Linked DNA regions of Tamandua tetradactyla. The protein of the gene in region 1 purifies or fractionates together with the protein of each later gene. This does not show direct contact. Links are inferred from orthologs where the notes say so. Each region holds a gene or a part of one and is shown in the gene's direction. Other genes may lie near its edges.

What was found.
Region 2: the proteins of VAMP8 (region 1) and STX4 purify together in Homo sapiens (affinity purification with western blotting; 3 studies listed by BioGRID and IntAct, with this or other methods). This does not show direct contact. The link is inferred for Tamandua tetradactyla from reciprocal best matches to the Homo sapiens genes VAMP8 and STX4.

The regions. Positions count from the first base shown.
Region 1 is NC_135343.1:59,880,757-59,887,937, forward strand, and holds the start of VAMP8 (vesicle-associated membrane protein 8), read left to right. Parts: upstream 1-4,175; 5' UTR 4,176-4,377; coding exon 4,378-4,380; intron 4,381-5,630; coding exon 5,631-5,783; intron 5,784-7,180; coding exon 7,181-7,181. UniProt on the Homo sapiens protein: SNAREs, soluble N-ethylmaleimide-sensitive factor-attachment protein receptors, are essential proteins for fusion of cellular membranes.
Region 2 is NC_135349.1:23,489,951-23,497,656, reverse strand, and holds the start of STX4 (syntaxin-4), read left to right. Parts: upstream 1-4,691; 5' UTR 4,692-5,055; coding exon 5,056-5,085; intron 5,086-5,281; coding exon 5,282-5,383; intron 5,384-5,507; coding exon 5,508-5,607; intron 5,608-5,743; coding exon 5,744-5,818; intron 5,819-6,315; coding exon 6,316-6,383; intron 6,384-7,706. UniProt on the Homo sapiens protein: Plasma membrane t-SNARE that mediates docking of transport vesicles. Necessary for the translocation of SLC2A4 from intracellular vesicles to the plasma membrane.

The DNA.
Region 1 (7,181 bases):
TTCTGAAAGCGGCAGTCCCACCCTTTCCAAGGGCCTACACAGAGGCCTGCTTCTCTTCAAATGCAACCTTGGGGGACACTGGGGAGACCACCTTTTTCTAGGCTCCACCCTCTCCAAGCATTGGGGCTGCACCCAGTCTCTCTGCCATCTCGGGGGCACACGCTCAACCCCTCCATGTGGTGGCAGCCAGGCTCTCCCCAAACCCCAAGGAATGTGCTTTACCCTCTCCAAGGCCTGAGGCGGCATGACTCTTCCACGGCAACCAGGTGGAAGGCCCATTCTCTGCCTTTGGGGCAAACTCACCCTTTCCACGGGCTTGGGTGGATCCACTCTCCTGGCCCAAGGCTTCTTGACTTCAGGCCTCAACCTCCATGGTTTTGCCTCTGAAGTTATTTTTCCTCTAATGTGTCCCTTCTCTGAACCCCCCAGTCCAGACTGGAGGCGACTCTGTTTATACAGTTCCCACAGCACTCTCGTTGGCTTTCTATGCAATAGCCTCGGATCATGCCCATCAGACATAAGGAGTTTCCACAAATCCTTCCTGTATAACTCCATGTCCAATCCTGGCTTTCTCTGAGATGGCTGACTGGTTCCACATCTGGTCAAATCCTCACATGGATGCCCTGAATTTTCCAGGACATCATATTTTTGGTTTCTTTGTACCCAAGAGTTCAGTTTTCAGCTTATCTCTCTCCTGTTGCATTTCACTATAAGCTATGAGGAATAACCAGGCTGCACTTTCCACATTTAATCTGGAGATCTTTTCTGCTAAATATCCAAGTTCGAGGCTTTTAAAATCTGCCTTCCAGCTAAAGCCACTAGTCAATTTTGCCAGATTATCTGCCATTTTAAAACAAGGATCACCTTCCTTCCAGTTTGCAATAACATGTGCCTCATTTCTGTCTAAGGCCTCATCAGAGGTATCTTCAGAGTCTACATTCTATCAACAGTCTCTTCAAAACATTCTAGGCCTTCTCTATCAAGCTTCTCACAACTCTTCCAGAATCTTCCCTTTATCCATTTAAAAAGACACTCCAACATGTTTGGTATTGGCAAACTACAGCAGCACCCCACTCCTGGTGCGAAAATCTGTTTTAGTTTGCTAGCTGCCAGAATGCAATATACCGGAAACAGAATGGCTTTTAAAAAGCAGAATTTAATGAGTTGCTAGTTTACAGTTCTAAGGCCGAGAAAATGTCCCAATCAAAACAAGTCTATAGAAATGTCCAATCAGAGGCATTAAGGAAAAGATACCTTGATTCAAGAAAGCCAATGAAGTTCAGGGTTTCTCTCTTGGCCGCAAGGGCACATGGCAAACAAGGTGTCATCTGCTAGCTTTCTCTCCTGGCCTCCAGTTTCATGAAGCTCCCCAGGCTCTTCATCTCCAAAGGTCACTGGCTCGTGGGCTCTCTGATTCTCGTGGCTATGTCGTTCTTCTCTGCTCTTTCTGAATCACTTATTCTCCAAAATGCTTCCTTTTTCTGCTCCTCCCGAATGGGTGGAGTCATGTCATCACCTAATCCAGTTTAATAACCACTCTTGATTACATCACATCTCCAGGGAGATAATCTAATTACAGTTTCAAGCATACAATGCTGAATAGAGATTAGAAGAAATGGCTGCCTTTACAAAATGGGATTAGGATTAAAACATGGCTTTTCTAGGGGACATACATCCTTTCAAACCAGCACAGTTTGCAAAACCCCAAACAAAACCATTCCTGTCAACCCTAATGAACACTTAAGACTCTATCTGAGATCCTACAAAAGTTTCATACACTATGATTACTTTCCAGAAACCTACAACCTCTGGATGGATTTTTAGGCCAGATAAATTCTGAAACTCAGAGGGGCCAGCCTCTCCAAGAACGTCAACTAGTTCCATCCCCCTATCCCATACTACCCACAGTCCTTATCAACATGAACAAGTTAGAATGGGCATGGCCCAAATACCCCTAACGACTGGGAGAAGGATCACGGGAGAAGGAGGAGTTATAACAGAGAAGATAGGATTTAACAAATGAATATGACTGCTGAATTGTTATATTGATATTTCTTTTAGTATCCAGTGTCTTGGAGCAGCTAGAAGTACAGAACTAAAATTTGTGTAACTGTAATCCATACCAAACTCTGAAGTCTATTCTATAACTAATTGTTGCAGCGTACTTTGAAATTTATTGCTTTTTTGTATATATGTTATATTTCAAAATAATATATATATATATACTGAAAAAAATATATATATATAATGGAAGAAAAAAAAGCATATGGTGCCTTTGGGAAGGTCATGTAACTTGGTATGATCTGGGCTAGGAGGTGAATCTAATGGAGAATGAGCTTGGGAAAGCACACTGAGAACAGTCTGACTGCCATGCTAAGGAGCTGGGGCTTTACCCTGGAGGGAGATGTTTGGGGAGGATAACAGGCTGCCTGTGGACTTCATAGAGAAAGAAAAGTCATCTTGGAGTTGGTTGGAATTTTCCAGTCATGCTGGCATTAACCAGGAAAGGAGGGAGTGGGTGTGAGAGATAGGACCCAGAAGGCATCAGACTTGGTGCTGGTCCATCATGCATGGTGAATGGCTTGGGATTTCTAGCTTGGGAAAGCAGGAGAAGGTGAGTACCACCCAGGCAGAGGAACAAAGGCATGAGATAAAGAGCTTGCTTGGGTATTGGAGGTGTGCATGGAACTTCCAGGGCTTTGGAGAGGCAGTGTTGGCAATTGTGAGGTCAGAGCTGGAGATACAGATTTGGGAATTGTCCACAAATGGCTGCTGAAATCGCAGAAGCACTCCGTTCTCCTAGGGAAACCAAGGGTTTTCAATCTGCAACTCTGGACAGTTTGGTCTGGAGAATCCTTTTTTGAGGACTGCCTTGCTGCTTACTTTCTGCTTACTTTCAGCATCCCTGGCCTCCATCCACCCAAAGCTATGGGGCAGCCACATTCTCTGTGATAGAGAACACTTGTCCTCCAAAACTCAGGTTGGCATAATCTCATAATTTTACAATCTAAGAGGGATTAAGATTTTATTAGATAGTAGAAGGAAAGAATCTCAAAGGGCTAGAAGAGTCAAAAATGTATTACAGTCCTTTAAAAAGTATTTGTTGGAGGAACTGACATTTCCCTCATGGAACTTTTATCTTTTCTGGGATAGAATAGAAAATCCTTTCTGCACGACCCTGATATTGTTCTTCTGTCTGATAAAAGCCATCCCAGAGAGTGGATTTTCCCTGGTCTTGAGTCAGTTTGCTGGAAAAATCCTTTGGCCTGTGCTCTCCTTTAATTCCTTACCCTCACCCTCTGAGGTCTGTGTTAGCATCTGCAAACCCCAGAGAGTTTCTGTAGGCTACTCTTATGCAAGCTTCAGTTACACGTTGGGGTTTAGCAAAAAAAAAAATTTAGCATGGTTTGCTAAACCCCAACCAAAACCATTCCTGTCAACCCTAAAGAACACCTAGGGCTCAATCTGAGATTCTACATAAGCTTCATACACTATGATTACTTTCCAGAAACCGACAACCGCCAGATTGGATTCCTAGGCCAGATAAGTCCTGAAACCCAGAGGGGCCAACCTCTCGTAGAACATCACTAGTTCCATCCCCCTGTCCCATATTAGTGACAAGCCCTTTTGAACAAGAAAAAGTTAGAATGGGCATAGCCCACATATCCCTAAAGATGGAGGGGCTCGCTTTGGCTCACCCAGCTAGTAGATGCTGCAACTGAGACTCAAACCCTGCATTTTCTGACATGAGCTCAGGATCTCAGCAGTCCAGATCTTGGGGGGACGGGGCAGGGGTCGGGGGAAGAGGTAGTGCTTCTGCCCACCCCCACCCCCACTCCCCTAACCCTGGGACCTGGGCCCAAGGCTTGGTCCAGCAAGGAATTTCCCTGTGAACCAAGCCTGGCAGAGCACTAAGGGGATTTCAGTCGCTAGGAATTGGGGCCAGATATTCAAAAAGGATGGCTACCCTTTCTGGAGGAGAGGGGCCAACCTCAGGGAACTCGGGGAGGAGGGGGGTGCTTCTTGGTCATTCTTTTCTCGTTCCTGACACGTGGGAAGAAACCTGGCGCCCGAGGGACGCCCTGTGGCTTTAAGTCGAAGGCTGGGAGGGCGGTGGAGAGCGCCCGCCCCCCTGCAGGAACCTGCTCACCTGAGGCAACCTGCCCACCAGCGGGAACCCGCCCACTGCGGGAACCGGCCCACCTGCGGGGACCCGCCCCGCTGCGGGGACCTGCGTGAGGTGTGGCTGGAGCTGGGATGTGAGGTGGGCGGGGGCGGGCTGGAAGTTGGAGTAAGCAGGAAGTGAGCCGAGGGGCTGGCCCGGGAGGAAGCAAACTAGGCGAGTTAGGCTGTCGCCCCGCCCGGCCGCTTGAAGACATGGTGAGCGCCCTGGGACTGAGGAGGGGCCTCGGGGCTGGGGGCGTCCGCGCTGGGGGAGGGAGAGTTGGTGGCAGAGTGGATGGCTGGTCCCGGCGCGGCCTGGGGACTCTCTGCTTTCACCACTTGGCTGCAAATGGTTCTGAGCTGCCCTCTGTGCTCCCTCCCTCCCCTGACCTCTGTGCTGGCTAGGAGAGGGGATTTTGGAGTGATAATTGGGACGGGGTAGGGGTGGGGGACTCAGAATTCCTGGCACAGGACTGCCCTGTCCTCCTTCGTCTTCTCCTCTGTCTGGCCAGGGGTTGTGACACTGCAGGGCAGCCGCCTCTGCTGTTTCCAGCTTAGATTCCAGCCAGGCGGTGGCGCTCCCCACCCCCTACCTCCCGCTTTACCCCCCCTAGACAGAAACCCACCGAGCCCAAGGACTCATACCCCTCTTGGTAACCCCAGGAAGAGAGCTAAGGGTTGGTAAAACAACCTGAAGTTGGTCGTCTGTGTTCATCTCGTTTTGACTCAAACCCCTGGCCTGTTGCTGGAGGCCCAGTGGGTCAGGGAGGGAGGAGCTGAATTAGGTTGTTCTCTCCCTGTTCCGAAACCTTATCGTGAGGCCCCAGGCTGAGGCAGCCGCCGGGAAGAACTTGCCCTCCATTTCCCCCAGCACCCAGTCTGCAAAAACCCAGTTTTTAACGTAATATCTGCAAAGCAGGCGGTGGCTCGGGGCCTGCACGTGGTGGCTAAGTGGTGGGGAAAGCAGAAGTTTGCGGCTCAACGGCTTGTGGCGCCTTGGGTGGGATGTGAGCGGGGTGGCCCCCTGCGCGGGGTGCACCAGTGGGGTAAGACTGCCCCGGAGGCAGGGGGCCGGGCCAGTTCTCCCGCTGCTGCTGCCTGAGAGAGAGCAGCAAGTCGGGCCAGGCAGAAAAGACACTTTTCAGAAGGGCCCTGTAGGATGAGGGAAAAGGGGAATGGGAACTGGTGACTGATGGTGAGGTTCTGCCCTGGAAGGGCACAGGGACCCCGGGCACCTGAAAATCCATTTTGATCTAGTCTGTCTAGCATCAGCTCTCAACTTCTGGAACTTAATGTGTTGAGTTTTTTTTTATTACACAAGTAATACACGAAAACATTCTCTTTATAAACAGTTCAAGCATTACGAAAGAAAAGCCAAAGTTGGCCTTACCCTCCTCTGGCCTCCAAGGCTGAGCCTTTCTCTTCCTGCTCCACTTAGCCTAGTTAACCCCTGTGTTGCTGCCCAGGAGGGGACCAGTGGAGGAAATGACCAGGTGCGGAACCTGCAGAGCGAGGTGGAAGGGGTCAAAAATATTATGACCCAGAATGTGGAGCGTATCCTGGCCCGAGGAGAAAACTTGGACCATCTTCGCAACAAGACAGAAGACCTGGAAGCCACAGTGAGATGGGGGTGGGGGGAGGAGGCTGCGGGGGGCTGGAGGGGGAAAGGGAGGGGACTCCTGTGTGGAAAGAGAAAAGTGTTTATCTGTGGGGCAAAAAGAACAGGAGGGATAGAAGTGTTGTTTCTATTCCCTTCTGACATATTTTGGGAATTGGTGTGAGCTGAGTTTCCACTGCTGTTTCTCTTCTGCTTATGCTGAGTGATCTTGGGGCCCAGCGAATGGGTCTGGTGACTGGGGTTTGAGGGCGCTGGCCCATAGACTCATATTCAGAGACAGATGGATGCCTCCGTCTGTCATCCTGTGCATGCTTGTGAAACTGGTTTTCTTTTTTGAAGGCTGCCCTTGACAATGCCATTTGGACTTGACATCTTCAGGGCAAAAATACGGAGTCTGGGAAAATCCTGCGAGGGCCTTTGACCTCCTCCAGGAGATGGAGGACAGCTGGAGTGCTTGCTAAGTCAGCTTTGCAGAGGGGCCGGGGAGAGCAGTGACATTCTTTGATGATGGGTTCCTCTGCCAGCAGAAGACTAGAATAATATCTCCCACAGGCCCTGCTGGAACTTATTCTTTTTTCTCTTCGGCCAGGGGCTCAGGGAGGGAGTGACTCCAAAGTTCAGCTCAGGCTTCGTGTCCAGTGGGAGAGGCTGGTTCTAGTTTTCTCAGTCCCGTGTGTGATCTTGGGCATAGCCCCTGTCTCCTTGGGACTTGATTTCTCTTTCTCCAGCCGAATGTGGGGAGGATGGCCCAGGCAAAGTAGTTTCTGCAGTGAGTGCTGGGGGAAGGGGAGGAGTTTCACTTACTCCCAGCCCTGTCTTCCCCCCTCCCCTCTATAGGGCTGCTGTCCATCCCCTGGCTTTGACAGTCCCTGTGGGGCAAGGAGACATGGAGTCAGGGAGATGTGCCTACCTGGAGCCTGCACCCCTCCCCACCAGTGTCCGCCCTCCCAAGGCCCGGGAGTATGTGGCCATGTATATTGAGCCCTTCAATGTGTGAGGTGGTGCCAGGGGTAAGGAGAGAAGAGGGCAGGTCAGGGACCTGACTCCATGCAGGTGGGGAGCTCCCAGGAATCGAGAATTCTTTAGTCAGGAAGTGATATTTGTCAAGGTAGGAGGGTAGAAGTGTTTTGGTTTTCTTTTTTTTGCATGGCCAGGCACCGGGAATTGAACCCGGGTCTCCATCATGGCAGGCGAGAACTCTGCTACTGAGCCCCCGTGGCCTACCCATGGATAGATTTTTGACTTGATTGTCACCTCAACTTATAATTGAAATATGTGGGTGTTCAGACAATTGTCCCAGGCCCTGATAATATTAGGGCCATGCCTGCTCCGCACCCACCCCACCCTTCCACCATGGGAGAAGGCCCTGGGTCACTCACTTTCCCCTGTCCCCAATAGT
Region 2 (7,706 bases), on another chromosome or scaffold:
TATGCCGAGCTGCTTGGGCTGTGCTACGTTGAGTTCTCTCATTTAAGCACCAGCCAATTAAATCAAACATCATTCATTATAGCAGGCATGCCTCCTAGCCGACTGCAGATGTAATGAGCAACAGATGAGGTCCACGTACCATTGGCTCATGTTCACAGCAATAAAACTAGGCACGTTCACCTGGCCAAATTGACAACTGAATCTAACTACCACACCATCTCATAGAGTTGTCTTGGGGATGAACTGAATTAGCAGTTATAAAGCACTTATACTGGTGCCTGGAACACAGTAAGCACTATGTAAATATAAAATTAAAAGGATTAAAACTTAAGAAGAAATTTTTAATTAAAAAGAAATAAAAATAAAAAATAAGTAACTCCATTCATTCGTGGACATTTATTGTGCCAGGCACTATTGCAAGTCCTGGGGACACAGCAGTGAGTAAGGCAGGTGAAAATTTTACATTCTAGGCATTTTATTTGGGAGGCCAGTGAAGACAGACAATATACAAAATGAAAAACAAAATATATGACTAATAAAATACAAGTAGGGGGTGGGTCATGGTGGCTCAGCAGGCAGAGTTCTCACCTGCCATACTGGAGACCCGGGTTTGATTCCCGGAGCCTGCCCATGTCAAAAAATAATAATAATAATAAAAATAAAATAATAAATAATACAGTTAGTTCCAAACTGAGGAATGAGAGCTGTGCAGGAGCTGGTAAGGCTGTTCGCCTACGACCTGCTGCAGAGTAGGGCTCAGAAGATGGAAAAGGGAATGAAGACACTGGATAAGCAGCAGCGTAGAATCCCTGGTGGAGACACTGGAGCTGATAAAATGTTTGGAGTAATGATCATTTTCATCACCGTGACATAATAGCAGCAAACATTATACAGCACTCATTTTGTAGAAGGCACTGTTTTAACCACTTCATATATATGATCTCATTTAGCCCTTACAACAACCATATGATGCAAGTACTATTGCTATTTTCATTTTCTCAAACATTTTTTATTGTGAAATCTAACATACATTCAAAAAAGCAATAAATTCCAAAGTACGTTGTAACAAGTAGGTATAGAATAGATTTCAGAGTTTGGTACAGGTTACAGTTCCACAATTTCAGGTTTTTCCTTCTAACTATTCTAAGACACTGGAGATTAAAAGAATTATCAATATAATGATTCTACAGTCACACTCATTTGTTAAATCCTATCTTCTCTGTTACAACTCCTCCTTCTCCTTTGAACCTTCTCTCAATCTTTAGGGGTATTTGGGCTATGTCCATTCTAACTTTTTCATGTTGGGAAGGGGTGTCGACATTATGGGACAGGAGGATGAACTAGGTGATGTTCTTGGAGACGCCCTGGGTTTCAGGAGTTATCTGGCCTAGGAACCATCTGGAGGTTGTAGGTTTCTAGATAGTAATCTTAGTGCATGCAACTTTTGTATAATCTCAGATAGAGCCCTAGGTCTTCTTTAGGGTTAACAGGAATGGTTTTGGTTGGGGCTTGGAAAACTGTGGTAATTACCAATATCTAGCTGAAGCCTGCATACAGAATATACAGAACATACAGAATAGCCTCTCAACTCTATTGAACACTGTTAGGCACTGATACCTTATTTTGTTACATTTGTCTTCCCCCTTTTGGTCAGGAAGATGTTGAGTCTAAGGTGCAGGGCCAGTCTCATCCCTGGGAGTCATGTACCACGTTGACAGGGAGACTTTCACCCCTGAATGTCATGTCCCATGTAAGGGGAAACTAATGGTTTTCCTTGCAGAGTTGGGCTTAGAGAGAGGCCACATCTGAGCAACAAAAGAGGTTTTCTTTCCTGGAAGCAACTCTTAGGCATAACTATAGGTAGGTTTAGCTTCTCTGCTACAGAAATAAGCTTCATAAGAGCAAGCCTCAAGATCAAGGGCTTGGCCTATTGATTTGGGAGTCCCTAATGTTTGAGACGGTATCAGGGGTTTCCCTAGTGCTAAAGTTTAATAGTTCCATATCTTTTCTCCAGTCCCTCAAGGGACTTTGCAAATACTTTTTAATTATCTGCTCAGCATACTCTGGGATGAATCTGGGTATTACATTAAGCTATACACAATTACAAATCCTCATTCCCATTCTGGGCTCCATGTGTTTGGGTGTACTACACATAGAGAGGTTAAGTAATTTGCCTAGCAAGGTCACAGGGTTAGTAGGGATGGATCTGTGATTTGAACCCAGGTCATCTGGCTCCAGTGTCTGGAGGGCTGGACCTGTGAGTAGAGGGAACGGGACTGGCTACTCAGCCTCAGGACAAGGTAGGGCCAACTCCAACACCTACAGGCACCAAACCCAATATATTTAACACACACCCAGCTTTAAGGCTGCTCAGTGGGCCTGGAAGAGTGACAAAGAGGCATAAAATAAACATCAGTGTTCAGTTCTGGAGGGCCCAACCCCCAAAGCATTAGGGACATAAATGGCAGGCTCCCCACATGGCCTCTGCTCCCCTGCCCCCTCCACACATGAGCCCATGTGGCCTTAAGCCCAGCCTCCTGTGACCTTAGGTCACCATTTCACCCAGAGACCAAAGGAAATTATGAATCTCATAATCCTGAGAAGTTTAACAGAGGCACCAACAACTCCAGATTGCATTTGGAGACTGAGAAAGTCATCAAGAGACTGAGATACAGAGAGGTGGAAAATGGGACTGGTGGGACGGGAGAGAGCTGGAATCCACAGCAGTAGAAGCCCAGAGAGGAGGGCAGTCCTTCACAGTTCACAAGACCCTTTTTCATTCTTCCTAACCCCTCACTTGATATTTCCCAGTTCTTACCCTAGGCAAGGCAGAAATTAACAGACCAAATTGTCAAATGGGGAAACTGAGTCCCAGAGAGGAACAATGAATTCTTTAGGGTCACACACAGGATTAGAAGTCAGCTGCCCACAAGCCTTTCCATTGAACCACTCAGAGACAGAGTATGAGAGAGAGAAATAAAGAGACTGGAGTGGGGTATGTGGGGGTGTAGACAGGTACAGGGAGGCAAGAGGCAAGTGGCAGTTAACTGAAGCAGGAAATTACCTACAAGACCCAAGAGCAGAGAAATTCTCTGTGATCTCCAGGCCCTCCAATCCTCATTACCCCTGTGGATGGATGAGGACTATCATACTCACTCCCTCACTCCCAATCCCAGGCTGGGTTTTAGAGGTTAGAGAACGATCAAAGCCCTATACATAGAATCAGACAGCTTTCGAAGTTTCCAAGTTCATAATCAGCAAACTTTAGAGATATCCCCCTTTTGCTAACCCATTGAACAGATGGGAGATCAAGACCCAGAGATAAAAAGTGACTTGCCAGAAGCCGGAAGTCACTCAATGACAGAAATACAGGTCTCTTGACCAGAGCATAGAAGACAGAGGCCATCCCTTCCTTGCTTCAGGCTTCAAATAATAGTTCCCTGGGAAGAGCCCTGGGATCCAGGAGTCCTGAGATCTGCTCCTGGCCGTGCTGAAATTCACTGATTGGCTTTGGGCACTCCTCTCATAGAATATAAGCTCCTTGATTGCATGGATTTTTGTCTGCTACGTCCTTGATGTATTCCTAGAACAATGCCTGGCACATAGTATGTGCTCAATAAATATTTGTTGCACAAATCAATGTCTAGAGGTCCAGGGCCAGGGAAGTGCTACTGTGAGAGAGTCTGAAACCCAAAGGAAGAGACCAGGGAACCATAAGCTATATCATCTTCAGACATGTGAAAGGCTAAAATCCTATCAACAAATATTTACACAGGGTTCATTATGTGTGTAATTACTAAACTAGGCGCTGGGGATTCAGTTAAGAAAAGGCAGTCATACTTCAACCTAGAAAGTTCATAGCCTACAGTAAGGTCCGAAGCGGGCAGTTTTCGGTGATCCCAGGGGGTAGAACCAAGCATGAGGTGGGCATGGGGTGTAAGGGGCAGGGAAGTAGAGGGCTCAAGGTAACGCGATGCTTTTCTTAGCCTGAGCTGCCCCTAAATGGCCTCGCTGCTCAGAAGGTGGTGAGTGCAGTGGGACTGCGGTGTTCAAGCAGGGCGTCCGGCCACCCACCTGTCAGAGACTGTGCCAGGAGTCTGCGGAAGGAGAGAGTTCTGCCTTGGGTGAGGTCACTTCCCACCCCCAGTACCTCTGCCAAGAAAACCCTGCAATTCTCTGACGTTGAAAACTGGGAGTTTATTATTCTCTGATTTTCAAAGTCCCATGATGCTGACAGCCCCCAATTCGAAGTTGGCAGTCTCTGCCCAAACCGCTGGACCCCGCCCCCCCGAAAAACAAAAACGGACTGAACAAGAGTCCTACTACCCACTGCTTCCAAAGGGTTCTGGGGATAGTCAGCGCCTCTTCCCAATCGCACACGCAGCCTTAGCTTGTAGGGGCTGTGGGAGCGTAGTCCGGACGCTGGGGTCCCAGGGGCGTCGTGGGGTGAAGGGTGTCCCAGGGACCGCATTCAGAGAACCGGGACACGTGACACCTGGAGCATCACGTTCCGCGGTCCACGGTGCTGGGACCGGGCCGGTCACGTGACGAGGAGGGCACTATGGGGTGATGTGAGACACGGGACCGCTCAGATTACGTACAAATGACGCATTTCCACCCATTTTGGCAACTGAATTTCCAATGGAAGCTGGTTCGGGTAAAGGAGGCGGGCTCTCACCTAGCGCAGTTTCGCTTCCGTTCAGGGCACTACAGCTTCCGACCTCCGCCCTTTCCCTCCGGCGAGGAAGAGACGCATCCTCGTGCGCATGCTCCGAATCCTTGCTCAGGGGGTGGGGCCGAGGCTATGGGAGTGGAGGGGGCGGGGAAGAGGAGGGAATTCCAACCTGTGGAGTCTTCCAGGGGGTCCCCGCGGCCGGCTCCTTCCCATTGGCTGTGGACGTTGCAAGGGGTGGGGCCTCTGGCGGCTAGTGGGGCTTTTGGGGTCCTCTTAGTGAAACAGGGGAGTGTCAGGGTGCGAGAGGGACACGGGAGTTCCAGACTCAGAACTTGAGGCCCACGGGGCTCAAGCGCCGGGCAAAGGGAGCTCGGGCCGCCATGCGGGACAGGACCCACGAGCTCAGGCAGGTGAGGAGTCGGGGGAGCAGGCTTGGGGGCGGGAGGACGGGGTGGGATCTGGCCGGAACGCAGGACTTCTGGACCTCAGGACAGGAGGTGGGAAGGGGTTGGCTGATGGCCTGGCAGGAAACACCCGGAAGGCCGTGGGTCCCGCGGGGCAAAAGCGACAGAAAGGAAGTGGTGCTAATGACCCTGGCCCTGGCAGGGGGATGACAGCTCGGACGATGAGGACAAGTTGCGGATCGCGCTGGTGGTGCACCCGGGCACGGCCCGGCTGGGAAGTCCGGACGAAGAATTCTTCCAGAAGGTAAGCTGGGGCCTCGGCGTGTATTTCACGAGGGGGCAAGGCTGGGGTTGGGGCGGGGCTGACGAGCAGCGTGCAGTCTGGAGTACCCCATGTCTCCTTCAGCCCTCTCTGTCTCCCTCCTTAGGTCCGCACAATTCGGCAGACTATTGTCAAACTGGAGAACAAAGTGCGGGAGTTGGAGAAGCAGCAGGTCACCATCCTGGCCACGCCCCTTCCCGAAAAGAGTGAGTGACAACTCCAGTGCAGAGCGCTTGCTCAACTTGTGGGATTGTGGGGGTTGTAGTTCCACGCAGGTGGTGGCCAGAGTGGTTTGTTGTGGTATAGACTGCTGTTGGGGTTCATGGTCTTCTCTTTGTTCAGGTATGAAGCAGGACCTGCAGAACCTGCGGGATGAAATCAAAGAGCTGGGGAGGGACATCCAGATACAGCTGAAGGGTGAGCTTCTAGGACCTCAGATCCTTTTCTCTGGCCCTGTGGTGTACAGGAGAGTGATGGCCCAGAGCTGCTGGTGATATATTCACTTTATACACAGGCCTGAGTCTAGAAGTTCAGTTTACTGGCTTCAAGTCCCATGCGTTTTCCACAGCCCATGGCTGCCCTGGGATTTTCTTATTTGCAATGAAACTACTTACTCCTACAATTCTTTCTGTCCATTGTGCATTCTTTGAACAAGCAGGTAGGGGTTTTGTTAGGGGGGCCTCTGCATACCTGTGGGAATTCATGGATGCGTGGCAAAGAAAAATACACTTTCTCCTGTCAGAGGCCCAAAATTAGTCATTTTGTGCTAAATTATATTTCCCTAACAAAATCTATGTAGATCACTAATTTTGTAACTGGAATATGGCCCTGGCCTTGTGTTCTGGTCCCCAAACAATCTTCAGAAGTCACAAGTCAATCCCTCTTTCCCCCCATATTCCTGTGTCTTCCCACAGCCATAGAGCCCCAGGAGGAAGCTGATGACAACTATAACTCAGTCAACATGAGGATGAGAAAAACCCAGGTGGGTTTGTTGTTCCCAGAACCAGGCTATTTTACCAAGTGTTTCAATAGATTATTAGGTGGCAGAAGTGAGAAGGAAGGGCCATTAGAGATTGAATCCCATCTGATGATTTTTCTATTGGGGAAACTAAGGTTAAGAGAGAGAAAGGATTCACCCAAGGTTAAGAGCCCAGGACTCCTGATGCTTGAAATATTTTAACACCCTGTCTTCTTCTCCTCCATTCAGTGAGGCTCAGCTGTGGCAGATGTACTTTCCAGGAGCTCAGATGGGGAGTTAAGGGTTGAATAGGTAACAAAGATGTTACTGGGGTAGAACTTGGTGGCTAAAGACACTGCCCAAGGTAAAAGGTCATCTCTGGGAGGTTTCCAGTCCATGTGACAGGGAAAATCCATGGGCAAAATTCAGGAAGTCAGAAAGAGGAACTTTCATGCTGGGGAAGGTCACTGAATGTCTTAGTAAGGGGCTCTGAAGGGATCTGACCAGAGTCCCTTTGCAGTCCCAGCGAGGACTGCTTTGGGGTTGCTAGAAGTCAGGATTGAAGTAGGTGGGCCCAGAACTCAGCAAAAAGACCAAATTGAAGATGGACAAATTTGAGCATCTTGAAAGAGGGTGGCTAAATCCAAGAGAGTAGATGTGCCCCTGAGGAAGGAACTCACAATATGTAAGGATTCAGGGAAAGGGACAAGGCAGGGCAAAGCAGCCTTGCAGAAGCCCAGAGTGGGCTTTTTAGGAGGAGCAAAGACTCTTGGTCATTGTGTGAGATGACTAAGGTCCTAGGTGGGCCTGTTAAAATCTTGGCATCAGGCTTACTGACTGGCCTCTAAGCTGTCATGTTCAGCAGACATTCAACAAATACATTCGATTCTCATTATTTTTGGTACTTACGTTGTATAAAGTCTCAGTGTATACTGAAGTAGGGAATATTTAATTTAGTGAATACATTGCCCTGAGGGGAAATTTGGGATTAGGTTCCTGTGAGGCTTCAGTCACTCACTTTTCCTCAATCAATACATGACCTTGTTTTAGATGTGCTTCTTTTTTTCTTTTTAGCTTTTTTATTGTATAGTATAACATATATACAAAGCAATGAAATAAAAAAAGCAATAGTTTTCAAAGCACTCTTCAGCAGGTAGTTACAGGACAGATCCCAGAGTTTGTTATGGGCTACCATATGATCCTCTCAGATTTTTCCTTCTAGCTGCTCCAGGATATAGGCGGCTAGAAGGCTTAAATATTTTTTTTATCATCACAATCGACTTTTTCTCCTTTTTTTTTTTTGTGAAAAATAACATATATACAAAAAAGCAGTAAGTTTCAAAGCAC